Oryctolagus cuniculus: one gene and its partners. The protein of the gene in region 1 binds, or shares a complex with, the protein of each later gene. Links are inferred from orthologs where the notes say so. Each region holds a gene or a part of one and is shown on either strand. Other genes may lie near its edges.

What was found.
Region 2: TMEM237 (region 1) and TMEM231 share a complex: the UniProt entries of both Homo sapiens proteins name them as parts of the tectonic-like complex. The link is inferred for Oryctolagus cuniculus from reciprocal best matches to the Homo sapiens genes TMEM237 and TMEM231.
Region 3: TMEM237 (region 1) and TMEM216 share a complex: the UniProt entries of both Homo sapiens proteins name them as parts of the tectonic-like complex. The link is inferred for Oryctolagus cuniculus from reciprocal best matches to the Homo sapiens genes TMEM237 and TMEM216.
Region 4: TMEM237 (region 1) and TCTN1 share a complex: the UniProt entries of both Homo sapiens proteins name them as parts of the tectonic-like complex. The link is inferred for Oryctolagus cuniculus from reciprocal best matches to the Homo sapiens genes TMEM237 and TCTN1.
Region 5: TMEM237 (region 1) and B9D2 share a complex: the UniProt entries of both Homo sapiens proteins name them as parts of the tectonic-like complex. The link is inferred for Oryctolagus cuniculus from reciprocal best matches to the Homo sapiens genes TMEM237 and B9D2.
Region 6: TMEM237 (region 1) and MKS1 share a complex: the UniProt entries of both Homo sapiens proteins name them as parts of the tectonic-like complex. The link is inferred for Oryctolagus cuniculus from reciprocal best matches to the Homo sapiens genes TMEM237 and MKS1.
Region 7: TMEM237 (region 1) and CC2D2A share a complex: the UniProt entries of both Homo sapiens proteins name them as parts of the tectonic-like complex. The link is inferred for Oryctolagus cuniculus from reciprocal best matches to the Homo sapiens genes TMEM237 and CC2D2A.

Annotation. Positions count from the first base shown.
Region 1 is NC_091434.1:38,296,816-38,301,082, forward strand, and holds the start of TMEM237 (transmembrane protein 237), read left to right. Parts: upstream 1-1,467; 5' UTR 1,468-2,115; coding exon 2,116-2,157; intron 2,158-3,625; coding exon 3,626-3,657; intron 3,658-4,226; coding exon 4,227-4,237; intron 4,238-4,267. Other genes in the region: MPP4 (MAGUK p55 subfamily member 4), read left to right, coding at 774-968. UniProt on the Homo sapiens protein: Component of the transition zone in primary cilia. Required for ciliogenesis.
Region 2 is NC_091449.1:57,934,800-57,939,048, forward strand, and holds the start of TMEM231 (transmembrane protein 231), read right to left. Parts: upstream 2,801-4,249; 5' UTR 2,698-2,800; coding exon 2,559-2,697; intron 2,466-2,558; coding exon 2,296-2,465; intron 1-2,295. UniProt on the Homo sapiens protein: Transmembrane component of the tectonic-like complex, a complex localized at the transition zone of primary cilia and acting as a barrier that prevents diffusion of transmembrane proteins between the cilia and plasma membranes.
Region 3 is NC_091432.1:10,781,803-10,785,302, reverse strand, and holds part of TMEM216 (transmembrane protein 216), read left to right. Parts: intron 1-3,148; exon of another isoform or gene 3,149-3,149; coding exon 3,150-3,351; exon of another isoform or gene 3,352-3,500. UniProt on the Homo sapiens protein: Part of the tectonic-like complex which is required for tissue-specific ciliogenesis and may regulate ciliary membrane composition.
Region 4 is NC_091452.1:8,272,264-8,276,370, forward strand, and holds the start of TCTN1 (tectonic-1), read left to right. Parts: upstream 1-1,307; 5' UTR 1,308-1,386; coding exon 1,387-1,600; intron 1,601-4,107. UniProt on the Homo sapiens protein: Component of the tectonic-like complex, a complex localized at the transition zone of primary cilia and acting as a barrier that prevents diffusion of transmembrane proteins between the cilia and plasma membranes.
Region 5 is NC_091449.1:13,268,896-13,272,922, forward strand, and holds the start of B9D2 (B9 domain-containing protein 2), read left to right. Parts: upstream 1-1,227; 5' UTR 1,228-1,455; intron 1,456-1,529; exon of another isoform or gene 1,530-1,751; intron 1,752-1,824; 5' UTR 1,825-1,828; coding exon 1,829-1,916; intron 1,917-4,027. UniProt on the Homo sapiens protein: Component of the tectonic-like complex, a complex localized at the transition zone of primary cilia and acting as a barrier that prevents diffusion of transmembrane proteins between the cilia and plasma membranes.
Region 6 is NC_091448.1:33,643,763-33,647,715, reverse strand, and holds the start of MKS1 (tectonic-like complex member MKS1), read left to right. Parts: upstream 1-1,153; 5' UTR 1,154-1,230; coding exon 1,231-1,310; intron 1,311-1,677; coding exon 1,678-1,787; intron 1,788-3,243; coding exon 3,244-3,314; intron 3,315-3,713; coding exon 3,714-3,869; intron 3,870-3,953. UniProt on the Homo sapiens protein: Component of the tectonic-like complex, a complex localized at the transition zone of primary cilia and acting as a barrier that prevents diffusion of transmembrane proteins between the cilia and plasma membranes.
Region 7 is NC_091433.1:10,482,299-10,486,487, forward strand, and holds the start of CC2D2A (coiled-coil and C2 domain-containing protein 2A), read left to right. Parts: upstream 1-1,389; 5' UTR 1,390-1,728; intron 1,729-4,189. UniProt on the Homo sapiens protein: Component of the tectonic-like complex, a complex localized at the transition zone of primary cilia and acting as a barrier that prevents diffusion of transmembrane proteins between the cilia and plasma membranes.

The DNA of each region.
Region 1 (4,267 bases):
CCCTCAGGGTGGGCAATAGCAGGAAGCTGGAAGCAGAGTGGAGCTGGAACTCAAACCCAGGCAATCCCCGTGGCATTCAGGTGTCCCAAGTGTCCCACTGTGCCAGGCACCTGCCCTGGGTGCAGACACTGTAACCAGCATCTTAACTGCTAGGCCAAGTGCTTGCCTCAAGTCACCTTTGTATCATCCTCCATCTTGTTACTTTTATCTTCCTACTTTTTTCAATGACTACGAAAGTCTGATTCTCCAGTTTGCCTTTCAGATACAGTCTGGGGCTGACTTCTCTGAGTCACTGGGGCATTTAAAATTGTGTTCTCATTTTGATGGCAAACTTGTTTCACTATCATATGTATGGTCACTATCATACTTGGTCACCTTTTAAGGGAGTATTGCAGCAAAATTTGTATTTTGAGTGCTCATGGACACATTAAAATAACAGCAATTAATTTAATGTTTTAATGCCCAGTGAAGGCCAAATGCCTTCACAGAATGAACATTTCATAATAGTAGAAATAGAAAATATTACAGTGAGTTAGGGACGTCCAAGTCGACATAGCCAGGTCTCACTCTCATGCTAAAAGCAGCCATTTTGTATTTGCAAAGTCATATTTTTCTTATTCACTTTCATTTGAAATTGATGTTCGCATTTCGAACATCTAGCCTACTTGCTTTTAAATAAATAGCTTCACAACGAATGTGACAGCATCCGCGTGTATTATTTCTATTTGTCTCATGAAGTCCGTGCTACCTGCCTTTTTCTGTTTCATTTGAAGGATGAAGACCTACAAGAGATGGAGGATTTGGCCCAAAAAATGGAGGCTCAGTTTGGCCAGTTTTTTGATTACGTGATTGTGAATGACAACTTGCAAGATGCGTGTGCCCGGTTGTTATCTGTTGTACAGAAGGCTCAGGAGGAGCCTCAGTGGGTCCCCGCCACGTGGATTTCCTCCGACACCGAGTCTTCATGAGGTCCCCTGCTTCGGGCTGGAGTTTTAGCGCTGCAGCCTTGTCGGGGAGACCTGGAATAACAGCTGCTGTCTTAACAGCAGTACTGACCCATGTTAGTGTGTGCAACTGGATAAGTGCTGCAGTTCATTAACAGTATCGCAACAGTATGGCTCTGTATTATATTGCAAGGCTGTGCAGAGTGACACATTTGGCATTTAGGGAAACCTTTCTCTTTTCCTTCCCCTTCGATGCGGTTGTGGTGGGCATATCAATAACGTCACCAAGAATGAGCGCTTCTTAGGGACTTCAGGTCTTTCCAAGATTCAGTTAAAAGGAGCTTTCCTAAATAAAATGAGCAGTATTTAATTTCGGAAATGCACTTTATGAAACTTCTGTTTTGTGAATGCCTTTTACACAAAGTATCTACTTGGCTAACTCAGCAAGAAAGGTTAATGTACACATTTCATGGGTAACATCAACACCTCGAGATACTGAGATACCGCAAGTCTCCTGCATAGTCCCTAGAAGAAAGCCACGAGATGAGGATGCTATGCTAGGGTCTTTTTCTTTCTTCCCCTGTATCTGGGACCCCCCAGTAGCTCTCCCGGCCCCTTATCAGTTCATCTTCTGCATCACTCTCTCACCCTACCCATTCCAGCCCTCCCATCGCTTTCTATAAAGCATGTAATGACTCATTTTTTTAAACTTAAAAATAAGTTCCCTTTCTAAAAATATCCAAATAAAACAGAAAATGCAGTCATTTTAAACGATATTTAGATAGGCTGATTTAATTTTCTGTTGTGGCTCTTTGAGAAGGTTTCTGATTCGATTTACGCACTGTCGGTAGACGCTGTGAGAACTGTTTATTTCAATTGTTTATTACGCACTGTCGGAGACGGTGTGAGAATTATTTCAATACACACGCCCACCCGGAGTCCCGCCGGGGAGTGTCCAGCCCGGGGCGTCCGGGCGTTCCTCCCTACCCCAGAGCCCGGAGACGCGGGGCCAGGCAGAGCAGAGGCGGGCGGGGACCCGGCTCGGGCGTCAGCGGTCTCGCCGGGCGCTGCGAAGCCGCCGCCTCCCGCAGGTCCCGGAGGCCGGCGCGGCGCGGGGAGCCCGGCTCGGGCCGAGGCCGTTGCCCTGAGGGAGCCCCGCGGGGCGATCGCCATGAGGGACGACTCGCGGTTTCGTGTGGAGGAGGGCCGCCCGGTGAGTGGGGAGGGAGCGCGGCGGCCACGAGGGTCCCCTGGGGCAGCAGCAGCCCTCGGAGCGGGGCAGAGGCCAGCGGTGGGGGGCAGCAGCGGCCTGCCCTACTGGCCCCGGCCCCGTGGGCCGTTACTGGACCCCGGAGCTGGCCGGGAGTGTCCGGGGGCCTGAGCTCGCGTTGCCACGACGCAGCCTCCGTCCGCCGCCGCCCCGGCTGGGCGGGCTCCGCGGCTGCCAGCGAGCGGCTCTTCCAGGCTCCGTCGGGAGCGCCGGGCCTTCCGCCCGGAAAGAGAGCGTTGTGGCTGCGGAGCTTTTAAACCCAGGTCCTCCCTCACGCCCCGCAGACAAATCACAGCAAACCCTGGGGAAACCGTGATTGGAGCCCCACGGCCGCCGGAGCCTCTGCTTTCGGCCCGTCAGCCCAGGCTCCTAAGCCCAGTTTCCCGCACGGCCAGTCTGCAGAGGTCAGGCCCGGCCCCGGTACCCACAGCCCCCTCGCCCTACAGCCCACCGAGGGGTCTGCGGGCCCGAAGCGGCCTGGGCCGCGCAGCCCGATGACGCACTGCGCCTGCGCGGGCGGCCGGGCGGGCGGGCGGGGGTGGCGCCGCACGTCCCAGGGGCCGGAGGCCTACGGGCCCGGCTTTAGACAGAATGGGGAAGAAGCAGGTGGTAAGCGAGCGGTGGTTATGTTTGAGCGGTTAGGATTCTTGTCTCGGGTTGAGCCGTCCTGCTTTAGAGGGGCTTAGAGGTTGGGTTTCTGCTGTGGGTGAAACGTCATTTTTGCGGGATGTTTGAATGAGGGAGTTAGCAAGTGCACTGGACCTTGGGCTGGAACGCGCTTCGTAGCATCTTTAGAACAGCGGCGCTTTCGTGCGACTCCTTTCCAGTGTAATGTTTGACCACTGCATAGGATTAAGACAGTCAGCCTTGTCCTGGATCTTGGAGTATTTGCATTCATGTACTATTTGAACAGAAGGATGGCTGGGTGAGACCAACTCCTAGTATCTAGAATTTAACCGCGCTGTCTCCTGCAAGTAGCGAGATCCGTGGACCCTTAAATTGTTGATTTTGAAGGATTCCAGAATGCATCTTAGCTGCAGTGCTGTCTGCACTGCTAACACGAGTTTTCTCATTCATATCAACCTTTCTGCCCTAAAATCCTGTCTGTGGCACTGTTACTTGCTGCGCACGTTACAAAGTGGCGGAAAACTTCTATTGGCTTCCTGTTGAATTAGAACAAAACCCAGACTCCTTCCGTTGTTCTGACCCTGGGGCGTGTGCTTGGCCTTTACTGTCCTTTAACCCTGATTCTACCATTACCCGTCAGGGTGCCCTCACCGGTGGCCCATCAGATTTTTCTGTCACTCTGAACAGCAGGCTGTTGAAAGAACTTAAGGGTATTTGAGATTACATGAAGATGCCCAGGCTTTTACTTATCCACAGTTTTCTTCCTCCCTCCCACCCCCCATAGCGGCCTCCACGAGCTCTTCCACCTGTACCAAGGTAAACATGATTGACAGTAACTTAATTGTTGAACTTTAGAAACATAAAGCGAATAATGTTTGACGTGTAGTGTTGAGAAAGTATGATTCAGAAGAAACTTCCAAAAATTTAAAGGTAAAGCATCTTTGGGGCCTGAGGATAGCAGTTGTAACTGAATGTTCTCCTTTATTCAAAAGCCTGATTGTCACCGTGGTGTGCTGGGGGAGATCCGTGCTTGTTAGTAGAATTCTAATCCTCTTTTGTTTGCCAGAATAGTTTCCTGAGAGGTTAAGCTGATTATAGTGAGTGACAAATAACAGTTCCTAATCTGCTTTCTTATAGACAATAGGGAATATGGGTATGTGGGTCTTGAAAATGTTGGGGTTATTTTATTAGTAGTATTACATGGTATAGTTCTCACAAATAATAAGCTAGTTTGTAACCTGGCTGACATTGTGTGAAAGCTGATTTTATTTTAAGTATATAATGGTTTCAGTTATTTTTAAATTTAATTTTAAGTAGATTTGTAATTAATGGTTTCTTTTTTTGTTTTTCTCCTGCTGACTACATTTGGTCGGTATTATATGAAGTGCTATTCAAGGTAAGTTTATTATTACGTAAAATTATCAAA
Region 2 (4,249 bases), on another chromosome or scaffold:
GGTGCTGGTTCGAGTCCCAGTTGCTCCACTTCCAATCCAGCTCTCTGCGGTGGCCTGGGAAAGCAGTAGAAGATGGCCCAAGTCCTTGGGCCCCTGCACCTGTGTGGCAGACCTGGCAGAAGCTCCTGGCTCCTGGCTTTGGACTGGTGCAGCTCTCACTGTCGTGCCCAATTGAGGAAGGAACCAGCGATGGAAGACCTCTCTCTCTCTCTGCCTTTCCTTTTCTCTCTGTGTAACTCTGACTTTCAAATAAATAAATAAATCTAAAAAAAAAAAAAAAAAAAAGAATTAAGAACCAGGGCTAGCATTGTGGCGCACTGGCTGTAGGGGGTAGGGGAAGAAAATATTCCATTCGAGGCCGGCGCCGCGGCTCACTAGGCTAATCCTCCGCCTAGCGGCGCCGGCACACCGGGTTCTAGTCCCGGTCGGGGCGCCGGATTCTGTCCCGGTTGCCCCTCTTCCAGGCCAGCCCTCTGCTGTGGCCAGGGAGTGCAGTGGAGGATGGCCCAGGTGCTTGGGCCCTGCACCCCATGGGAGACCAGGAGAAGCACCTGGCTCCTGGCTCCTGCCATCGGATCAGCGCGGTGTGCCGGCCGCAGCGCGCCGGCCGCGGCGGCCATTGGAGGGTGAACCAACGGCAAAGGAAGACCTTTCTCTCTGTCTCTCTCTCTCACTGTCCACTCTGCCTGTCAAAAAAAAAAAAAAAAAAAAAAATTCCATTCGGTGGTACACTCCCCAAATGGCACGATGGCCAGGGCTCGGACATGCTGAAGCCAGGAACCAGAAGCTTATTCCAGGTCTCCCACATGGATACAGGGCCGCAAGCACCGGGCCATCCTCCACTGCTTTCCCAGGCACATTAGCAGGGAGCTGGATCGGAAGTGGGGCAGCCAGGATTCGAACCAGTGACCATATGGAATGCCAGGGCTTTAACCCGCTGTACCACAGTGCCAGCCCCAAAATTACCCAGTATGAAAGTGATCTCATGGTATGGGTACCATAAACATTAAGAGTTAGTTTTGGCTTCTCATTAAAATTGGAACTGCACGCCAGATGCAAGGGGGGACCAGGGCGGTGCACTGAAGGGAGTGGTTGGTTTCTGGTTGCAGAGCTAAGAGGCCAACAGCAGCTGTGTTGCACGAACCCGTAAAAACAATGAATGAATGAAACTTAATGGTTTATCCTTGTCTTCACAATTATCTCAAGCCTGCATGGTATTTCTTAGACTCAAATGACCAGAAGCACATGATAGAGAGGAATATAAACATGTGGAGAAAAAACCTGGGGCTAGTGCTGTGGCACAGTGGGTTTGACCTCTGCCTGCAGCGCCAGCATCCCCTATGGGCACCGGTTCAAGTCTTGGCGGCTCCACTTCCAATCCTGCTTCCTGCCACTGTTCCTGGGAAAGCAGCAGAAGACGGCCCAAGTACCTGGGCCCCTGACACCGACGTGGGAAACTGGGTACTTTCCTAATTAAAATAAGTCAATAGGGGCTGGCACTGTGGCGCAGCGGGTTAACGCCCTGGCCTGAAGCACCGGTATCCCTTATGGGTGCAGGTTTGAGACTCGGCTGCTCCACTTCCGATCCAGCTCTCTGCTGTGGCCTGGGAAAGCAGTAGAAGATGGTCCAAGTGCTTGGGCCCCTGCACCCACTTGGGAGACCTGGAAGAACCTCCTGGCTCCTGGCTTTGGATCGGTGCAGCTCTGGCCGTTGCGGCCAACTGGGGAGTGAACCATCAGGAAGACCTCTCTCTCTCTCGCTTTGCCTCTCCTTTCTCTGTGCAACTCTCATTTTCAAATACATAATAAATCTTAAAAAAAAAAAAAAGCCAATAAATTTCAGAAGTAACCAGAGAAAAACTATCTGTAACAAACTTTCTAGTTATTCATACGACCTATCATCTTTTTGCTGGGAACATTTTTTACACGAGTTTGTCTTGTAGGCCACTCACCTCAAGGACGTGGAAGAAGGAAAACTAGAAGTTTCGGCCCTCTTAAAGAAAAAGTCTCAATTTTACCCCGGACAGATGCACGCTGGAGCAGCCTCTGAGATCACGTGGGGCAGGCTCCCTCCGCCGGGGCCCTGCCGGGGAACAGGTGCGGGGCGCCCGGTCTCCGAGGGTCAGTCCTGCCCGGAGACGCCCGCCCCCGACCCCCAGCTTCCGCCGCGCCGCGTGAACGCGGCGACACCGCGGGACCCCGAGCGCGCACCGTGCCCGGCCCGGGTCAGCACGCAGCGCTGCCCGGGTACCTGGGCGTCTGGGGGAAGCGGAATTCCAGGCGGGAGCCACGCACCGAGACGAGCGGGACGCGCAGGCGATCCCCCTGCAGCCGGTTGAAGGCGGGGAAGGTGCTCCAGGCCAGGAAGCCGTCGCGCTCCGGTCCCAGCAGGGCCACGAGCAGTACCTGGTGTTGGAAGCGCACGGTCGGCTGCTCCTCGTAGCTGCTCCGCTTCAGCCAAAACCCTGAGAGAAGAAGGGCGTGAGAGGGAGAGGGGGACAGGTCAGGCAGGCCGTCCCGAGCGGAGGCGGTGGCGCGCACCGGCCTAGCAAGCTCACCGTGGCTCCGGAAGGCCACCAGCAGCGGCGGGATGTAGGTGAGCGCGGCGGCCAGGAGCAGGAACAGCGCTGCCTTGGAGCAGAGCCCCGCGCGGTAGCCGCGCTCGGCCGGGTGGGAGTAGAGCTGGTACAGCGCCATGGACGGCGCACGCCGAGACCCCTACGCAAACCGAGAAGGGACGACCAAGTTTGGCTGTTCCCGGCTGCCATCGTCGTGGTCTCCACGGCAACCGGCGGCGCCGGGAGGAGGACCAATAGTAGCGGCGCGGGCCTCTAGAAGGGGCGGAGCTACCTGGAGAGGGGCGTGGTCAGCCAGTGGACGGGCCACCGAGAGGGGGGCGTTGCGTGTTTTGCTTCGGGACGGCTGAGGACGGCTGAGTGGTCCACGCTGATGCCCGCAGGTCGCACACGCGTGGCCTCGCTCCTCGACCTGGTCCTGGACGAAGGCCAAGGCCGGGTTGCTCCGCCTCTGTGTTCTGTGGCTCCGGAAGCAGGACAGCGCACAGGACCCAAACCCTCGGCTCTGGGGCGGGCAGGGTCATTACTACGTACATTGTTACCTGTATTGGGTGCAGGTTCGGCTGCCGGTTTCAGAGGGAGCTACTAAACAAGATACATTTCTTTTTAAAAATATTTATTTGAAAGAGTGACAGAGGGAGGCAGAGATCTTTCAACTGCTGGTTCGCTCCCCCAAATGGCCCGAGGAGCCAGGAACTCCCTCTGGGTTTCCCACTTAAGGGCAGGGGCCTGAATATCTGGGCCATCATCATCTGCCTCCCAGGATGCCCGAGCAGGAAGCTGGAGTGGAAGCCGACCAGCTGGGACTTGGCACTCCCCTCTGGGACGTGTTGTGCAGTGGGTTAAGCCTTTTTTTTTTTTTTTTAAGGTTTAATAATTTATTTGAAAGAGTTACAGGGAGAAGGGGAGAGAGATCGTCCATCCGCTGGTTCACTCCCCAAATGGCCGCAGCAGCCAGGACTGGGCCAGGCCAAAAACAGGAGCCAGGAGCTTCAACTGGGTCTCCCACTGGGGTGCAGGGGCCCAAGCACTTGGCCCCTCCTCTGCTGCTCTCCCAGGTGGAAAGTGGATTGGAAGTGGAGCAGCCAGGACTCAGTTGGCACCCACAAGGGATGCTGGCCCTGCAGATGGTGGCTTAACCCGCTGCACCACAGTGCTGCCCCAGTGGGTTAAGTCGTACTTCCCAAAGATAACATTGGTTTATTGCTAATTGATTGCCCACCGCCTTCTCTGCCAAGCCAGTATTTTGAACAGGGTGGAAGGATTTTTAAAACCTATGATCCAAAAGAAAGGAAAAGAAAAAAAAAAGTAAGCAAACAACAAAAAAAAAGAAAAATAAATAATAAAACCAATGGTCCACAGCCAAGTTCTCCATCCAAAGGCCCTGAAGACTCCAGTTGCAGGATCAGGAGTCAGTGTGGGGGCCGGTGCTGTGGTGTAGTGGGTAAAGCCACCGCCTGCAGGGCCAGCACCCCATATGGGTGCCAGTTCGATTTCTGACTGTCTGCTTCGGTTCCAGCTCTCTGCTATGGCCTGGGAAGGCACTGGAGGATGGCCCAGGTCCTTGGGCCCCTGCACCCACATAGGAGACCCGGAGGAGGCTCCTGGCTTCACACTGAGGCAGCTCTGGCCGTTGTAGCCATCTGGGGAGTGGACCTGTGGATGGAGGACCT
Region 3 (3,500 bases), on another chromosome or scaffold:
TAGAGTGCCTGGTTCCTGTCACTGGTTTGTTTTAGAGAACAGATCCAGTTGTGACTCCATGTCCAGGGTGGTATACACAGATCATGCTAAGATACCCTCTACTTCTTGGAATGAGGATCTCTTTAGGACAAGTCTTTTGTTTCTGTTTTTGTTTTTAAGATTTACTTACTTCTGAAGTCAGAATTACAGAGAGAGGGAGAGACAGAGAAACAGAGATCTTCTATCATCTGGCTCACTCCCCAGATGGCCACAATGGCCAGGGCTGGGCCGGGCACAAGCCAGGAGCCAGGAACTTGATCTGGTGTCCCATGTGGGTGACAGGGGCCCAAACATCTGGGCCATCGTCTGCTTTTTCCAGGCCTTTATAGGGAGCTGGATCAGAAGTAAAGCAGCTGGACACAAATAGGTACCGATATTGGAGGCTGGTGGAAGCCTAACCCTCTATGCCACAACGCTGGCTCCTAGGACAAGTTTTATATTACAGAACCACAGAGCAAAACCCTTGTTAGAGTATCTTATCCCTGAAAGCCATGTTGAAGGACGAACTGAGGACAGAAACACTTGCAGTACAAGGAAGAAGGGATAAGGAAGCTCACGTAAATTACTGAGGAAAGAAAAAGTAATTTTATTGGTAAGGGACATTAGTAGGTAATTCACTTTAGAATAATTATGGGACTTATAAGCTTGACAAGGTGCCAAGTCTCACTAAGAAAAAGCAAATTAGGGGCCAGTGCTGTGGCATAGTAGATAAAGCCACCACCTGCAGTGCTGGCATCCCATATGGGCGGTGGTTCGAGTGCCGGCTGCTCCTCTTCCGATCCAGCTCTCTGCTATGGCCTGGGGAAGCAGTAGAAGATGGCCTAAGCCCTTGGGCTCCTGCACTTGCATGGGAGACCCAGAAGAAGCTCCTGGCTTCGGATTGGCCCAGCTCCAGCCGTTGTGGCCATTTGGGGAGTGAACCAGTGGATGGAAGACCTCTCTCTAACTCTGCCTTTCAAATAATAAGTAAATCTTTAAAAAAAAAAAAAAGGCAGCTGGACCAGAAGCAACAGCTCGGACTCGAACCCAGGCTCTCTAGTACAGAGTGCAGTCATGCAAAGCAGCACCTAATAATTGTGCCAGACACCTGCCCTGGGATGGCTAGCTAAAAAAAAAAAACTTTTTAAAATTTGTCTGAAAGAGAGGAAAGACAAACATACACAGAGATACTCCATCTGCTGTTTCACTCCCCAGATGGCCGCAATTCCAGGGATGTGTCAGGCCGAAGCCGAGAGTCTGGAGCTCCGTCCTGGTTCCCACATGGATGCAGGGGCCCTAGCACTTGGGCTGTCTGCCGCTGCTTTCCTAGGTACATTAGCAGGGACTGGATTGGAAGTGGAGCAGCCAGGTCTCAAACTGGCATTTTGGCCAGTGGCTTAATCTGCTATGCCACAACGCTGGCCCCCTTAAAATATTTTTGTGGAACTATAAATTAGTAATACCTGTTTGGTAACAGTTATTACTGTGAAAAATTCATATCCCTTTGAAATTTTGTATTTTAATTTTATATGAAAGGCAGACACACAGAGAGAAAAAACTTCTTTTTTAAAAAAAGATTTACTTTTCTATTTGAGAGGCAGAGACAGAGAGATCTTCCATCCCCTGGTTCACTCCCCAGATGGCCTCAACGGCCGGAGCTGGGCTGATCCAAAGCCAGGAGCCAGGAGCGTCCTCCAGGTCTCCCATGCAGGTGCAGGGGCCCAGTGATTAGGGCCATCTTCTACTGCTTTCCCAGGCCATAGCAGAGAGCTGGATGGGAAGTGGATCAGCCAGAACTCGAACCGGCGCCCATATGGGATGCCAGCACTGCAGGCAGCGGCTTTACCCACTACACCACAGCACCTGCCCCAGGAGAGAGAGAGAGATCTTTTATCTGCTGATTCATCCCTCTCCCCCTCCCTGCAAATGCCTGCAACAGCCAGGACTAGGCCAGCCCCAAAGCCAGGAACCAGGAACTCCATCTGGATCTCCCCTGTGTGTGGCAAGGACCACATCTGCTGCCTCCCATGGTACACATTAGCAGCAAGCTGACTCGGAAGCAGAGGAGCTGGGACTTCAACCAGGCACTCAGATAGGGGATGCCAAGAGGCAACTTAACTGCTGTGTCAGATGCCTTCCCCTTAAGGTTCATATTCTTAGACCTAATGGTTTCATATTGAAAACTGGATTAAAACGGCAACACTTCACAAGTATGTGAAGATTGCTATATGAGAATATTTATCGTCACCAGTTTTTTAACATCAAAGCATTAGAAACAAGCTATCAATACAAGAGTAGTTCAACCATGGAATTGGTTTGGTAGAATCATACATAACCATTGAAAATTAAGGTAGTTGTATCTATGAGAAAAAAATAAGTTGCAAGATAGTATGTATACGTATGTAAAAACTTCTAGTAGAGGGGCTGGTGCTGTGGTATAGTGGGTAAAGCTTCCGCCTGTGGTGCCAGCATCCCATATAGATGCAGGTTTGAGTGCTGGCTGCTCCACTTCTGATCCAGCTCCCTGCTGCTATCCCTGGGAAAGCAGTGGAGGATGGCCCAAGTCCTTGGGCCCCTGCACCCCTTGGAGACCTGGAAGAAGCGCCTGGCTCCTGGCTTTGGGTGGGCCTAGCCCAGCCGTTGAGGCCATTTGGAGAGTGAACCAGTGGATGGGTGATCTCTCTTTCTCTCCCTCAACCCTCTCTCTGTGACTCTGCTTTTCAAATAAATAAATAATTTTTTTCTTAAAAAACTAATAGAACTATATACATCATTTTATCATTTTATAATGGGGACATGCAGCGGTCTTTGGATGTTTTCTAAAGTTTTCTCTGTTGAAAAAGTTTTCAGTGATTATATGCATGAGTATATTATGATTATATTTTCAATGATTTATATATTATTTTTGTTGTTAAAAAATTGTTTTTCCCAAGTGAAGATCCCGTTGTCCTTGAGTAGGAGTTAGATTGGAAGCGGGACCTCTGGAGTAAAAGACCCCAATCCCACAACCCAGCCAGATCCTCCGGTGTTCGGTACAGATCCTTCCTCAAGTTCGTCTCTGCCTCCCACCTTTCCTCCCAGGTCAGGGAAAGCAGGCCATGGGAGGTGACTCCATGGGCTGTGTCTGACAGGTACCAAGGGAAACCTCTGCCAGCGAAAGATGCCCCTCGGCATTAGTGTGGCCTTGAGCTTCCCATCTGCCATGATGGCCTCCTACTACCTGCTGCTGCAGACCTACGTGCTCCGCCTGGAAGCCGTCATGAACGGCATCTTGCTCTTCTTCTGTGGCTCAGAGCTGCTGCTCGAGGTGCTCACCCTGGCTGCTTTGTCCAGGTACTGCTGCCAAGGGACCATTTCCCGTCGCTAGGGGGCTGGGTTCCTGTCCCAGGGAGGGATTCATTGTTCTGAAGCTTGAAGGAGCTAGAGGACTTTTAAGGGGGCATGGGGGTCTACGGGACTGCCTTTCCTTAGGGCAGGTAGGA
Region 4 (4,107 bases), on another chromosome or scaffold:
TTTGGAAAATATATATATTTTTAAAGGGAAGTATTTCATTAGTTCGTCATAAAAAGTTTCAGGTGCAAAAGCAAACTCTTGTAGGAAAATTTGGAAATATCTATGACACATCTGTGTGATCCTGATATATATATTTTTAGAAAATGTATTTATAGGTTCGGTGCTGTGGTGTAGCCGGTTAATGCCCTGGCCTGAAGTGCCGGCATCCCATATGGGCACCGGTTCGAGTCCTGGCTGCTCCACTTCCCATCCAGCTCTCTGCTGTGGCCTGGGAAAGCAGTGGAAGATGGCCCAAGGCCTTGGGCCCCTGCACCCACGTGGGAGACCAGGGAGAAGCTCCTGGCTCCTGGCTTCCGGTCGGCGCAGCTCCAGCCGTTGCAGCCATCTGGGGAGTGAACCAGTGGATGGAAGACCTCTCTCTCTCTGCCTCTCATCTTTCTGTGTAACTCTGCCTTTCAAATAAATAAATACATTTTTTATTTGAAAGGCAGAGTTACACAGAGAGAGGGAAAGACAGAGGAGGAAGACGGGGGAGAAGAAGGGAGGGGAGGAGAGAGAGTCTCCCATGTGCTGGTTCACTCCCCAGACAGTTGTAAAGGCCAGGGCTCGGCCGGGCTGAAGTCTGCGGGAACAGCACTGGGTCTCCCACGTGGGTGCAGGGACCAGCCGCTGCTGCTTTCCCAGGTGCAAAGCCGAGAGCTGGGATCCCGCAGGTGCTCATGTGGGATGCTGGCACGGCCGGCGGCGGCTTACGCGGCCGGGCCGCAACGCGGGCCCCTCCAGTCATACTTGTAGGCAGCGTCTCTGGAATGCACCGGGAAGACGTCTGATTACCTAACTTTGCTACGGGCATGTAATAAGTGAGCTGTGTCCTCGTGTATTGTTCAGCATTCTTCCAAACTGGTCGATTCGTAGTTACAAACTGCCCGTTTTTCCCTTTAAGACTTACGCACTGTTTTACTTATTGTCAAACTTGCAAAAAAAAAAAAAAAAAAAGTGATTATCTGACCCAGAAGCTCCCTGGCGACCCTCCGCGATGCGGCTAAAACCGAAAAAGGAGAAGTCAACGGCCACAGGGTCTGGGCCGGGAGAACTGAGGGGCCGCGGCGCGTCGGACGTCCACGCACTCGTTAAAAACCCCGAGAGCCGGGCTGGGCGCTGGACTTACGGATCCGCCTGGAAACCCGCCGCTCCCAGTCGGCGCCGCAGGCCGGCCGCGAACCCCAGCCGGGTTCCCGCGCCGCCGCCTCGGCCCGCCTCCTGGCGCGCGCCCCGCCCCCTCGCGCTGCCTTGTGGGCTTCTTCCCGTGGTGCCCCGCGCCCGCGGTGGCGGTTGCCGGGCAACGAGCGGCCCCTCGCGCCGGCCGCGCCGGGGTCCCCGGGGACTATGGGGCTGCCGGGCCTCCGGCCGCTCCTGCTGGTCCTGGCGGGCTGCTGGGCGGCGGTGAGGGCCCAGACCTCGGCGACCCCGGCCGCGACCTCGGACAACTTCACTGAGGCAGCCCCGGCCACTTTAGGACCGTCCGTGTCGCCTACGCCCCCCGGAACCTCCCGAGCCCCGGAGCCCTCCTTCGGCTCCAGGCCCGCGCCGGTCACGGACGGTGGGTGCCGGGCGCCGACTCCTGGGGGTGGGGGTCCACCGTGACTGGAGGGGGCAGCCGGGTGAGGGTGCGGCGCTCCGTGGACACCCGCGGCGAGCCGGCCGTGCTGGGTGTCGCCTGGGCGTCCGTCCTCTCGGTCACCGCGGGCGGCCGACGTTACTGTCCACGCGTGCAAGGGCGGCGGCCGAGGCGCGGGGAGCGTCAGCCACGCGTGTGGCGGCCGATTTCCAGGCCGACCTGACCTGGGCGACTTCGGGGTGGGTGGGGGGTGTCCGTGCGACCCCTGGAGTCAAGGGTCGTTAGCAGTCAGATTTTTAAACGGGTTTGTATCCTAAAAAAAATTAATCCTCTGAATCCAGAGGGGATTGAGAGGAACCTCCGTAAGGTGTGCGGCATTGTTTTTTATTTGTATTTTATTTTATTTTAAGATAAATATTTATATATATTTTATTTAAAAGATTTTATGAATCTTTATTGTATTTTATTTTATTAAGTTACTTTGCAGGTGAAATGCATAGCACAGTGCCCCCTGCACAGTGAGTGGTTAATCCGTTTTTATTTCCCCTCTTGAGAGAAAAGTCGATTCTGAGATTGAGTAAGGCAGAGTAGTAGTAAATTTAAAAAGCCCCATTGGCTGACAGCCTGCACTCTAGTTCCTAACTGTTATTTCTTTCTTTCTTTTTTCTTTTCTTTTTTTTTTTTTTTTTGACAGGCAGAGTGGACAGTGAGAGAGAGAGAGAGAGAGAGAGAAAGGTCTTCCTTTGCCGTTGGTTCACCCTCCAATGGCCGCTGCGGCCAGCACACCACGCTGATCCGATGGCAGGAGCCAGGTGCTTCTCCTGGTCTCCCATGGGGTGCAGGGCCCAAGCACCTGGGCCATCCTCCACTGCACTCCCTGGCCACAGCAGAGAGCTGGCCTGGAAGAGGGGCAACCGGGACAGAATCTGGCGCCCCGACCGGGGCTAGAACCCGGTGTGCCGGTGCCGCAAGGCGGAGGATTAGCCTAGTGAGCTGCAGCGCCGGCCTCTGAACTGTTATTTCTATAAAAAGTCCTTTATAAATTATGAGTAGTCTGTAAGAAGAAGTACAAAGATGTTTCTCTCTGAATAAACGGAACTTAAACATTTTAACCTGTTGATTTGATGAGTTAATGGAGAAGTTAGGTCAGTGGTAAATTAGGACAGCATAGTTTCCGTGCCCAAAATTCCCTGAAGTTGTTGGCCTGGGTTGTCTTTTACCCGTGTAAGGACCCCATCCGTTAATGCACTTTCTTCCCAAGTGAAGTGTTCCTGAACCATCATGATTAGGGTTTGTGTTTGGGGCTGCTTTTCCAATACGGAGGGTGAATCTGTACTTGTCCTTTTTGTTTTAAAAGAACTCCTCTTTAGAAATAGGGTGGCAAGAACTCATTTATTAACTGCCTGCCGCGTGGCAGATGCCAGGCCGTGCAGTTCATCCGTGTTGTCCGTGCGATGTGGGTATGGTTAGCTCCATTCTTCACGGAGGTGAGTGACTGGTGCGATTTCAGGTCACACAGCTGCTGCGTGGTGACGCAGGAGGCTGGCTGGCAGTGGAGAACTGGGTGGGCGTCTGCAGAATGGGTTGCAGGCCCGCTGACTGCATCTGAGCTCTGGGCGTTAGCACCCTGGGAGGTCTTGGGAGGCCCAGGGCGCAGGAGAGCCGCTGCTGAACAGACACTTCTTGGGTGAGGAAGTGCACTCCCGTCCCGGACAGGTGGACAGGTGACCTTTTGGTTCCTAAGTGGGGTCTGAGCAGGATTGCTTCATCCTTAATAGTCTCACTGCTGTCTACCAGGGTTGTAAGTTTTGAAAACAAATCGCGGTTGTAATTTGAAACACACAAGCTAGGAAACCTGAATGAAAAAATAGCATTAGCCCCAGTGTGTCATTATTTCACTACCCACATTATTCTCTTGGCTAGAGAAAAGCCTGTAAACTTAAGGGCGAAACATTTACATCTCAAAGTAAGAAGAACGTTGTGTGCATTGGCAGAACCTTCCCCTCTCCCTTTTCCCGGAGTCTGTTTTACCTTTCTTAGGTTATATCTTTCTAAATCTCACTTTGTGAGATAATTCATACGTACACACAAGAATGTTGTATGGGCCCTCTGCCAGCATTTGCTTTGAGATCTTTTGTCCCCCCACCCATGTTTGTTTCTTTTTGCCTGTTTGAAAGAGTAACAGACAGAGTGTTGGTTTGCTGATTGATTTCCTAAATGCCTGGAGTAGCTCCAGTTAGACCAGGCTGAAGCCTAGAACTCCATCCTTGTCTCCTACGGGGGTGTCAGGGACCCGAGGGCATCGTCTCCTGCCTCCTGGGATGCCTGAGTAGGAAGCTGGATCTTGAACCAGTGTCTGAGATGGGATGCGGGTGTCCCAAGTGGCGGCTTCCCCGGGGTCACAGTGCAACATTGCAGATAAGATGAGTGAATCGCAGAGGGAAGACCTCTCTGCCTCTGCCTCTGCCTCTGCCTCTGCCTCGCTGAAG
Region 5 (4,027 bases), on another chromosome or scaffold:
CAGCAGGTAGTTTGATTTTTTTTTTATTAAGTATTAATTTAAAAGGCAGAGTGCCAGGTGAGAGAGAAGAGAATGAAAAAGGAAATCTGCCATTTGCTGGTTACCTCCTCAGAGGGGGCAACATCAGGGCCTGGACCAATTCAAAGCCAGGAGCGCGTGCTGCATTCCGCCCTCCAAGCTCCTGAGTCCACTGCCTGCTGTCTGCTCAGACGCACCCCAGGAATCTGGGACTCAGCGGGCGCTCTGAGGTGCAGGCGCCACCAAGCCGGCCCCTGCGGGCCTATTGAAGACATCCATAGACGGTGACTCCTTCAGTCTGGAACAATCCCACAAGCTGGGTGCTGTCATTCACCCTGATGGGGGACAAACGGGAATAGATGCAAATGACGCTGGCCTCAAGTCTTCATGAAGCAGAAGCCCTGTGTACCCCACCCCGTGTGTCCGCGAGGACCAGGACCTGACGCCCTGCAGTCCTCGTTACCAGGGCTGCACGGAGCAGGCACGCACGACCGTGGCGTTCCCAGCTGTCTGTCAGGAACCTTCTTTCTCGGATGGCGCTACCTGTGTGCATGCTGTCCTGTGCACCTTGCTGCCTCCCCGGTCCTCCACGTGTGCAGCCCCCGCGGTAGGAGGCGCGGCTGGGCGGGACTCCCGGTCCTGAGGACCAGGCTGCCCTGGACGCGGAGGCGGGGAGAGGCGCTCAGGACCTCAGGCGCCCGCGTGCACCCGCCCCACGGCCCGGACCGCTGGGCCCGGGGACGCCGCTCGCTCACAGCACTGGCGGCGAACGTGCAGTCGCTGGGAGGGCCCGGACCGCTGGGCCTTGAGCAGCCTGGGGAACTCCGCAAGGGAAGGGAAGCCCCGCCCCAGCCTCTGAGTGTCTGAGAAGAGGTTGTTTCCGAAGTCGAGGCCGGGGGATGCACAGAATGACCCGAGGGAATTCCCCCGAGCTCAGGCTCAAGTCTCTCATGTGGGGTTCAGGACGGGAGACAGGTGTTCTTTAGGGGGAGGAGGCGGGCCGCGAAGCTTATTTTGACACATTTCCTGGAGAGGCTCTGCAGCACAAACAGTCGGCGCTCAAACTTCCCGGCCACACTCAAGATGGCAACTGCCCGACCACGCCCCCAACGGCGGATCCCGGGGCCGGGGCTTGGGAGAGGCTACGGAGAGATGTCCATCACGGCATTGCCCCGCCCCCGAGGACAGCGAGCACCAATCGGCCGCGTGCAGGGCGGGGGCAAGGCCAGGGGAGGAGCCTGCTGTTGTCCCAGCAACGGCCAGGGAGCCTGAGGCGAGGGCGGTCGCGGAGGTTCGCGCCTTAGCGCCCTTGCTGTCAGGGAGGTCCCACGGGAGGCGCGAGGCCGGCGTCGCTGGCGCCCGCGAAGAGGACGGAGTCGGCCCAGAACCAGCATCCGGCTGCCGCATTCGCTCCCACTAGCCGTTAAGCTCTGTGAGGTAGGAGTGACGCATGCGCAACGAGTAGGGGCGGGGCCGAGGTGTTCGGAGGCGGGCCTCGATTCAATACGCATGCGTCGTCGAGCCTGTGGCGGGGCTATCAGCCGCGGGGAGGCGGAGCTTTGATGGCTGTGGGTGGAGCTCTCGGCCCCTTAGCGGGACTTAGCCAGGTCAGGAAGAGGTTTAAGGAGGGCATAGTTAGGCACCGGTTCCCAAGTCTAGGGCTACTCCCCCCATCTCCCGGGGAGACAGAGTCGGTGGATAACTCTGCATCCTCAGAGGGTTGACAAAACCAGGTTGGTGGCCTTCTGCCCCTTGCTTGGGCCTCAGTTTCCCTACTCAGAGCTGATTGTTTCTTTTCCCTCCCAGCGCCATGGCTGAGGTGCACGTGATCGGGCAGATCATGGGGGCCACCGGGTTCTCGGAAAGTAGCCTCTTCTGCAAGTGGGGCATCCACACAGGTATTCCCCCCAGGCCTGGTCACTGCCCACCAAGACCCCGCGCTCTCCCTGGACCCTCCGCCCCACCCCGGGTCCTCCTCTCCCCATGGGCTTTCAGCACTCCCGGCCCTGGCCAAGGCTGGCCGCGTGAGGCCCGCACTTCCTTCCTGCCCCGTCTCCGGGGACCCTGGCTCCCACCCTCGGCATGCATGGCCATTGACGATGATGGGCTAGGGGGAGACCCCATCCACACGCTTCATGTCAGAGCGCTCCTGTTAACTCCACTTGCTGCCTTGGGGGTGTGTCCTGGGATCCTCCCCAGCTTTCTCGTTCTTTGACTAGCAGCCTCCATTTATTGAGTTCTTACTGTAAAGTAGAAGTTTGCACCCCAGACTTACAGAGGAGAGGCCACATCCTGTCGTCAGAATGCCTTTCGCTCTGAGAAGGCAGCAATCATCCAAGTCCACACGGCCCAGCAGGGACTTGGAGACCCAGTGTTTCTGTAGGTCTGCATGGAGGCCAGACCTTGTAGAGGTGCAGTGTGATGGCCAGGGTCATAGGCAGCCACATCTGGGTTCAGATACTAAGTCCCCATGTATGTATCTGTGGCCTCTGGACTTGACCTCTCCAGCCCTCGGTCTCCTTGTCTGAGAGGAACGGCACGGTGTGGATAGCAGCTGAGAGGCGGTGTGGCGTCGAGGTTAGGAGCACAGACTGCCTGGGTCCTAACCAGGTGTTTATGTTTTTTAAGGTTTATTTATCTATTTGAAAGGCAGAGTTACAGAGGCTGAGGCAGAGAGAGAGAGAGAGAGAGAGAGAGAGTCTTCCATTCGCTGGTTCATCCCTCAAATGGCTGCAACGGCCAGAGCTGAGCGAATTTGGAACCAGGAGTTGTTGGGTCTCCCACGTGGGTGCAGGGGCCCAAGCACTTGGGCCATCTTCTCCTGCTTTCCCAGGCCATAGTAGAGAGCTGGATCGGAAGTGGAGCAGCTGGGGCTCAAATGGGGCCCATGTGGGAAGCTGGCACCGTAGACAGCCTCTTATTAATAGGTGACGTTAGGGCCTTGTTTGTGCGTCTGCTTCCTTGTGTGCACATGGGAGCAGTAACAACGTGTGCCTCGCGGATCTTTGCCAGGCCTAGGGGAGCATGCGCAGCACGCAGAGCAGGGCTGGCTGGTGCTGTGTGCCTGGCTCGCGGGTGACTCCGACAGGGTCCCATTAGTGAAGCCCAGGCACGTGGCTGCCCAGCCCCAGTAACAACCTATGAGGTAGACGTGGCTGCGTCTCGGGCTTGGGTCCCTTGGACCTGACTTGGATGGGTGAAGTCGCAGGATCAGAGTCGGGCTCAGGAGTCAGACTCCATGTCTACCCGGGACCCCAGCACTCACCTGCTCTGTGATCCCGGGCTGCTGTCCTTTTCTTGGGGCTGTTTAAGTAATCTTGTGTCTACGCAGCCTGACTCAGGGCTTCCCTCACCAAGGCCAGAGGGAGTCATGCTTGGCTTTTATTATCGCAGGTGGCTTTGGGGCATTGAATCCAGCAGGGAGCTCAGAGACAGTGGCCGAGGGGCCTGGTCGCTGCAGTTGGACATTTTACAGACTTCTGCGCTTGGGGATCTTTGGGTGCTGTGGTCACTGCTGTATCCCCAGAGTGGAGAACAGGCTTGGCATACCCTAGGTGCTCAATAAATGTTCATGGAATAATTAACCAAGTGACTTCCTTCTCAGAGCCTGTTTCTGTACTTGGAAAATGGTAATCATAGCACACATAGCTTCTAGGGTCACTTAATTGTCCCAAAAAATATGTATCGACCACCTTCTGTATACCACGCACTGGGGATCCCGCCATGTGCATGGGCCAAGCTCTCCTGAAGCTCATTCTACGAGCGTCAGACACTATATAAGCCGCTGAAGAAACTTAACTCAGTGATTTCCAGTGGCGACAGTGCTGGGGAGAGAGAGAGGCAATGGCTATAGAGGGCGGGTGTTTAGCTCGGGGTTAGGACCTGCACATCCCGCCGCACACCTGGCTGCTGGCTTAGCTCCCTGCTAATGCCAGCCCTGGCAGGCAGCAGGGATGGCCTAAGTGACTGGGTTCCTCCCGCTTACGTAGGAGACATGGGTTGTGTTCCC
Region 6 (3,953 bases), on another chromosome or scaffold:
TAGCGGGTAAAGCAGTTACCTGCAGTGCCAGCATCCCGCTTGGGCACTGGTTCTAGTCCCGGCTGTTCCACTTCTGATCCAGCTCTCTACTGTGGCCTGGGATAGCAGTAGAAGATGGCCCAAGTCCTTGGGCCCCTGCACCCGCGTAGGAGACCTGGAAGAAGCTCCTGGCTCTGGGCTTCAGATCAGCAGCTCCAGCCATTGCGGCCAACTGGGCAGTGAACCAGTGGATGGAAGACCTCTCTGTCTCTCTGCCTCTCCTTTTCTCTGTGTGTAACTCTGACTTTCAAGTAAATAAATAAATCTTTTAAAAAAATAAATGGGGATAAAAATGGACTTAGGGTTTCCATGAGGATTGGGAACAATGCCAACAAAGTTCCCAGGCTAAATTAGCTCCTACCTAAATGGTGCTATTTATGGAGAGTCCTTGGCAAGGCACAAACAGCAGCTATGGCACCCCAGGTGTTCAAGGCCATGCAATCAAACTGATTCCTGAATTCAGGGGACAACTGCTAACCCTGTTGGGGAAGTAGCAGATGTTAAAGGGAGCCAGCTGAGGTTAGGGCATGTCCTGAATGTCACTCTGTGGGCTTCTCAGAGGGCCAGGGCAGCACAGCAGTTAGTTTAATAATCTGGAACTAACACACAGGGGAGGAACCTGTGCCATGACTACATCTCTTCTTTCCTGCTGCTGTCTTCCTTGTTTTAACTGTTGGCCCTCCCTGTTTTTTCCTTCTCTGGCCCAGAGAATACCAACACAACGACTAATAAGTAGGACACCCGCACCCCCCCTCCCCCGCCCCTTGAAGAATGTGCGTTCGTGTCTGGGGAGTGCCACCACCTTCCCTGATTCCTTTGGGATTAATGGGTGCATTCTTTCAGTCTCCTCCGCCCGTTTTTCTTGCGTTCAGCGGAAGACAGTACGGCACAGTGGGAAAACAGGTCTAGTCTCATCACCCTGCATTTACGCCAAGTGGGCTGACGGCTGTGCCTGGCCCCTCATTTGTACAGCGCCTTAAGTCCCGCCTCAGGAGTGAGTGATCCTCGTTCGCACAAATGGTAAAGCGGACATTCGCAGGCTCCTGCACTGCCCGCTCTGGGGCGCTAGGGGGCGACGCCGCGGCGGGAAGGGCGGGTTGCGTGCGTAGCGTCTCCGCCCCAGCGTCTGCGTTGCCAGGGGAACTGGGGGCGGTGTGCTTTCCGGCGCAGTCGTTGCGCGTCGCAGATATCATGGCGGAGACCGTCTGGAGTACTGACACCGGGGAAGCAGTGTATCGCTCCCGGGACCCTGTGCGCAACCTGCGCCTCCGGTAGTCGCGCCGCCCCAGCCCGGGGTGCTATGCTTTTATGCCCTTCGAGCCTGAACTTGTCGTTCTTCTGAGGCCCCCACTTGCGCTTACAATCCCGATCTTCCTCCCTGGTCTCTCTACATCGCTCTGCATTCCCCAGATCTTCTGTACGTAGGGCTTCCAAGCTCGCCTTCCACACCCAGCCAGGTCGTTTCAAGGCCTGTCGCTCTCCGATTCCTCAAGCCCTGGCTCCGCAGTAGTCCTCTCACCCTCTCTTCCCCGTAGGGCCCACGCCCCACCCGGCGCCTGCCCTGTGTTTTGTATTTCCCATGCTTGCTCTGCGTTGTGTGTGTTGTAACGCGTATTCGAGCTTCTGTTTTCTTCACAGAGTCCACCTGCAAAGAATCACCTCAGGCAGCTTTCTTCATTACCAGCCTGCGGCCCAGCCTCGGAAGGACCTCATAGACTTGGCCACCTTCAGGCCTCATCCCACTGCCAGTGGGTGTCACGGTGGAGTCGCAGCCCCCTGGGGACCTGGGCGAGGGAGGGCCTGGGGGGTAGAGGTTCCCGTTAGGACAGAAGAGACCCAGGCCTGTGGTGTTCAGAGAAAGCTGCACCTTTTTTTTTTTTTTTTTTTTTTAAGTATTTTTATTTCTTTGAAAGACAGAGTTACAAAGAGAGGTAGAGACAGAGAGAGGTCTTCCATCTGCTGGTTCACTTCCCAAATGACCACAATGGCCAGAGCTGAGCTGATCCAAAGCCAGGAGCCAGGAACTTCTTCCAGGTCTCCCATGCGGGTGCAGAGGCCCAAGGACTTGGGCCATCTTCTACTGCTTTCCCAGGCCATAGCAGAGAGCTGTGATTGGAAGAGGAGCAGCCGGGACACGAACCGGCACCCATTTGGGATGCCGGCACTGCAGGCTGGGGCTTTAACCCACTGTGCCACAGCGCCGGCCCCAACTGCACCTTTCTTACCTAGGAGAAATGGAAGGCAAAGAGATTGTGTTGCTTGCCTAAGGTCACATAGTTGGAGCCTGCACTTGAACCAAGGTGGTGTTAACTACTTCATCGTGTTATTTGTGGAAATTGAATAAGATACGATTCCTGCTATCAAGATACTGAGGCAAATTGTGGTCCAGTATAGTGGCAAAAGACAGATAGCGTATATCTGATGTTATAAATGGGCCTGGCAACCGTACCATTTATGGCTTTTTGTTCGTTTGTCTAAGAAAGATATGCTCAAACTCTACATATGCATGTAAATACTTTTAAAAACAATTTTACGATTGAAGACTGCTTGCAGACTGTGCGTTTGAACACCCACAGTGTTCTTGTGGTTCTCCTTATCTGGGAAGCCATAGGTGTGAGGAACAGAGGCTGGTGCTTGTATTGGGCCATTAGTGTTTCTGCCTTTTGTTTCTCTGCACTCAGAAGTATTCCTCTGTGAAATGGGGGTTTTGAAGCTGTGTCTCTGAAAAAGATACTCACCCCTGGAGTGTGTTAGATCTGGTTCTTTAACAAATCATTTATTTGCCTTCCCTGCCCTCTCCTGACACTTGGTCTCTGACATGATTGTGATTCTAGCTGTATGGCTTCAGGAACAATTAAAATGAAAATGCCAGGGTTCTTACCTAGCAAATGCAGGCAGCTGGCATTGAAGAAGAGCTGGCTGGTCAACCTATATCCTAGGCTCAGTTCCTGACAATGAGTTAAATTGACTACTTCCTGGAAGGCAGAACTACATTTTATTCAAATTAGAATAGTGATTAAGACTTTGTGGGTTTTAATCTTGGCTTCAACTCCTGCTAACTCCAGTGTATCCTTTGTCTACATTGAATGCTTAATAAATCACTGAACTCCTGCTGGTTTTGTGGCAAACATAAGAGTAGGGGCTTTGGTTACAATCAACCTCAGAGCAAGAAATGGTGGTGACGTAACTCTGTTGTCTTTGCAGGTGGACATCGCCCAGAGGAAGATGAAGATGAGGAGGTGGTCATTGGGTGGCAGCAGAAGCTCTTTAGCCAGGTGAGCCGGTGTCGTTCACTGCGTGGTCTCCCTCCACCTGGCTGGTTGTACATTGCCAAAGTGATTTCTGGGATGGTCGTAGCAATTTGTACCTCCCTCTGTTGTGTTTACAAGGGCAGTGTAATATAGTGACCGCCACCGCTCAGTGTTATGACCCTGGGTGAGGCACGTTTCCCCACCGTGGACCCTACGCCACCTATAACAATGCGGTTGGACTAGAGCTTCACCCCTTTGCTCTCTAACATTCTTGGGTCCCCTGCCCTCCATTGGTTTAAATCTATGAGAATTAATTATGGAGCTATGTCAGATAATATCAGCTCTCTAGGACTGATTTGGTAGTAGTTCTAGGATCAGAATTTTGAGGTATCTCGGATGTCTGTTTCCTTGTGGCGACCTCAGTTTGAAGTAGATCTGTACCAGAATGAAGCAGCCTGTCAGAGCCCTTTGGATTACCAGTACCGGCAAGAGATCCTGAAGCTGGAGCAGTCGGGGGGCAGGAAGAACCGACGAATCTTTACCTACACCGACTCTGACCGCTACACCAATTTGGAGGAGGTATTGTTCTTCCCAAGGCCCTGTAGCTTCCTTCTTTGCCTCCCCTGGCTTTTTGGCTTCACTGGGTTCTGGGTGCTAAATCGG
Region 7 (4,189 bases), on another chromosome or scaffold:
GGCCGGGGCTGAGGGACCTGAGTCTGGAAGGGGCCTTTTTGTTGTGTTATCCCATGGAGGAAGACAGAAGGGCAAGAGAGAAGGAAAAACCCATCCTTTCCCTTTTTTAAAAAAAAGATTTATTTGTTTATTTGAAAGGCAGAGTTACAGAGAGGCAGAGGGAGGGAGAGAGAGAGAGAGAGAGAGAGAGAGAGAGAGAGGTCTTCTATCTGCTGGTTTACTCCCCAGATGGCCACAGCAACCAGAGCTAGGTCCATTCAAAGTCAGGAGCCAGGAGCTTCTTCTGGGTCTCCCAAGGACTTGGGCCAACTCCCACTGCTTTCCCAGGCCAAGGCAGAGAGCTGAATCGAAAGTGGAGCAGCTGGGACTTGAACTGGTGCCCATATGGGATGCCAGCACTGCAGGCAGCAGCTTTACCCACTACGCCACAGCGCTGGCCCCAAACCCATCCTTTCATAAGGAAACCACTCTGTGGTAATGAGCCCACTCCTGTACCTGCATTAGTCCAATCACCAAGGACAGAGACCTCTGAGCTGATCACCTCTCATCAGGCCAACACCTCCACACTGTTGCACTGGGGTTAAGTTTCCAATACACCCAAATGATTGTCCAAGGCTCACCATGCAAGGCCACCCACAGGAGCCCTAAAGGCAGAGGATGGGCCAGAGTCTTTCTGGAGATTTTCCCAGGAAGGAATGGGAGAAGCAGGGTAAGTGTGCTAAGTTTAGTGAGTTTGAACCATGCTGGTGGGATCTGGGCTGCAGGAAGTATTCTCGGGTGTCTGCTACCTGGCCGTGGGATGAGTCAGGACAGGGAAGCACTGGTCTGGTAAGTGAGAGGTTGGTAAAGGTTGATGGTGTGTGGGGGGCTCCCGCTTGCTTGGTTTGTATATGAAAGTAGAGTTTCCAGCAGGCTGTCTCCAGGATCAAGGTCCCAAATGTCAGAGCAACCAGAATACAGAAAACAAAAAAATACAGCCAGTGCGCACACACATACAGAGAGAGAGAGAGAGAGAGAGAGAGACCTAGGCGTGAGCAGACACACACAGAAACAAGTACACTTGGAATGTGGCTTCCCTTGGCCTGCTCAGCCCAATTCCTCTGCCACCTGCTTTGCCTCTTCTCCCACTTCCTTTGCTGCTTTGAGCTGTAACATGTAATCCCCTTTTAGTGATTGCAGTGGGATTCGGAGAACAAGCAGAGATGAAACCTGTGCAGTCAGTCCTCCGTGTTTAGCCCGAAAGTCGCTGAGCGCAGTATTTGCTGGTGGCCTGCGGCACCTCCAGAATCAGGTGACGATGACCTTCTCTGAGTCTAAGTTGCCCCATCCTTGTCATCACCTGTCATTTACATGAAATGCAGGAGGACCAGCTGATGACAAGAGGAAGCTGCACTCCTAGTGTTTTCCCTCATTTTGCTCAGCTCCCCGCTAAGCTGGTTTCTCTTTGCCTCCGTTTTCCTGGGAGGCTTGCCTTCCACTACTAGAAATAAGCTGTCACTTTAAAAGAAAAAAAAAAAAGCCTCCAGTGACCTTCCCTAGGAACGGGTTGCTAAGCTGGTGTTTTTGCTCTGGGCCGTGGCTTGCAGCTCCCCAGGCTGCAGCCCGGGGCCTCCCCAGCTCACTGCCTTTCCCTTCCGGCCACTCAGAGGATTCAACAGCAAGGACCATCTCTCTCCACCTTCCTCCTCTTCCGGGAAGCAGCCAAGTGCCTTTTGTAAAGCACGTAAGGTAAATCAGTTCGTAACGGGAGCAGTGACGCTTTCCTGTTTGCAGTTATGGGTTCCGAGTGAGTGCAGCCTCTCCCTGGGCACCCTGAGAGTAGATTTCATGAACTGGCCGTCCAGGGGATCTCTTCATTATTTACATTTTTACTTCCTGGGACGGGAATACGTAGAGCAGTACTGGGGTGGTTTTGATTCAAGCTGCCTTCTGGCGTCTGGTATGCAGGAAGTGTTAAGTCAGGCTGATCCCGCAGCCTCCAGACCAGCACTCAGCAAATCCTTTGCCGCACGTTGCATTTCTGGGCCTTTCCGTTCTGTGTGGGTCATGGGGAGAAGTACTTGTAGGTGCAAACTTCAGTGGCCTTAAGCAAGGGGTGATTAACCACAGAGCTGCGGATTGCATTGCTTTCCAAAAGACCGCTAGAAAATCCACTGGCTGCAATTAAAACAGATTGTTTCCTTTCACTGCAGAAGGATGCAATGAAAAACTAACGAAGTCTAGCAGGAAATCCAGGTCTGCTGTTGCATTGTACGAACAGTTTCTGCAAATAAATTGAGTACTGGTGTGAAATATCTCTTTCCATAGAAAGATGGATATAGACAGACAGATCTCCTACAGCACATTTACAGAGTCGTTGATTCAAACATTTATTGAGCATTAACAATGTACCAGACAACATGCTTAGGTTTAGAGTGTGAGAAAACAAATTAGACCAGATCAGAAATCCAGCTTGCTGGGGAAAGAGCCCTATAAACAGATGATCATACTACAATGAGCTAAGTGACAAAGGAGATTTACAAAAGGGTCTAAAGGGCTTAGAGCACCTGGGGACCCCTAGGGAGTCCTTAGCATATCGGGTCAATGCATTAGCCATATACCACCGAGGGCAGCTCAAATGTGGCATTTACTTGGGCTCTTTGAGGGCAGTATATACTATATCAAGCTGATAAATGATTCCGTAAAGCTATCTGCCTCTAGCGTGGTACTAAGGGGAGCCATGGTTGGAATAACTCATTGGGTTAGAAAATGAAATCAAAAGGGGTGCATGCGGCACCTCCCCAGGTTTCCGAGTTCCCACTGGAACAGGCTGGGACAGACAAATGCTCTGAGGGTGAGATGGAGAACGTGCTCCGGAGAATAGGGCAGGACCTCTCAGAGGCACCATAAATGGAAACAGAAGACCAATGGCCTTGGACCTGACTGGAGGGAAGGGGTGGGTTATGGTAGCCAGGGCTGAAGGTGGGAAGTCAAGCCTGTAAGTACAGTGGCTCCCATGTCACCCCAGGGCTTTCTGTCCCTCAAGCTCTTTTCCCTCCTCACTCCTTTCTTCACCTTTCCCTTCAACTGTCACCTCTTCTTGCTAATGACACCTCACCCTACCTAGAGCCCAGTGCTGACAGACACTTTACTACTCACTTCCTCCCACTGAGTCCTTACAACTGATTGCTCTTTGAGGTTGGAACACGTTCGCAATTTTACCAGCGAAGGAGCCTGTCTCAGGGAGGTGAAGGCATGGCTGGAATTTGAACTCAGGGCCACACAACTCTTTGTAAAGGCCTCACATGCTTCTGTAAACCCATCGTGTCACTGCTCGACAGAAGGAGGCACAGACTGTGTTGGATTTAAGCGCCGAGGTGGAAATGCTCTGTGAACCGTGTTTCTCCTTTCCTCTTCTTTCATACAGTAGTCCCCACTCACAGGACCCTCTAGGTATGGCTCTGGCCCTCTGACAATGCTTGGAACTAGTTCATTTGTTCAGAGGAAGCATCAGTACTTTTCCTTTAAAAACGTGCTTTCTTTTGAAATCAATCATTCACGGTAGCCTGGAAGGGGGAGGACTCTGGGCTCTTAGAGTCTTGGGGTCAAATTCTGAACATGGCATTTCATAACAACGACCTTGTACAAACTATGGAGTCTGCAAGAGCCTCAGTTTCCTTGTGTATAAATGGGGCATGCGTTGCTGAGCTCGGAGTGTTACCGCGAGAACCAAAAAAGAACGTTTATCGGAAGATCCCAAAAATAGCTGTGCAGTAAATCATAGCTCTTGTTTTGATGTTTCCAGTAGGAATATATTAACAAGCACCCAGTGCATGTGAGGAAGGCAAGCCATGGATGAACACTGGGCAATATTGATTTATCTTTTCTTAGCAACAGAGTTCATAACAAAAATAAATTTTGGTGTCATTTGATTTCCTTAGAATCTCATTCAAAGTTAATGATCAGGAAAGAATGAAAGGGAAAAAAACAACCCCATTACATTTTTCATTTTAGACTTCTGTTGTTTCTTTGTGATTTTTCTTCTGTGTTTTAGTGACTAAAGTATTTCTGGACTCTTTTTTTGCGTTCACAACGACCAGAGTCATTTATGAGACAGTTTCTGTGCCCTTTGGAATTTGCATTCTCAGTGTGGACCCCCGGTTAGCTCTAGGTTAAGGAGGGCCTCCTTCTGGGTTTTTTGTGTGGTTGA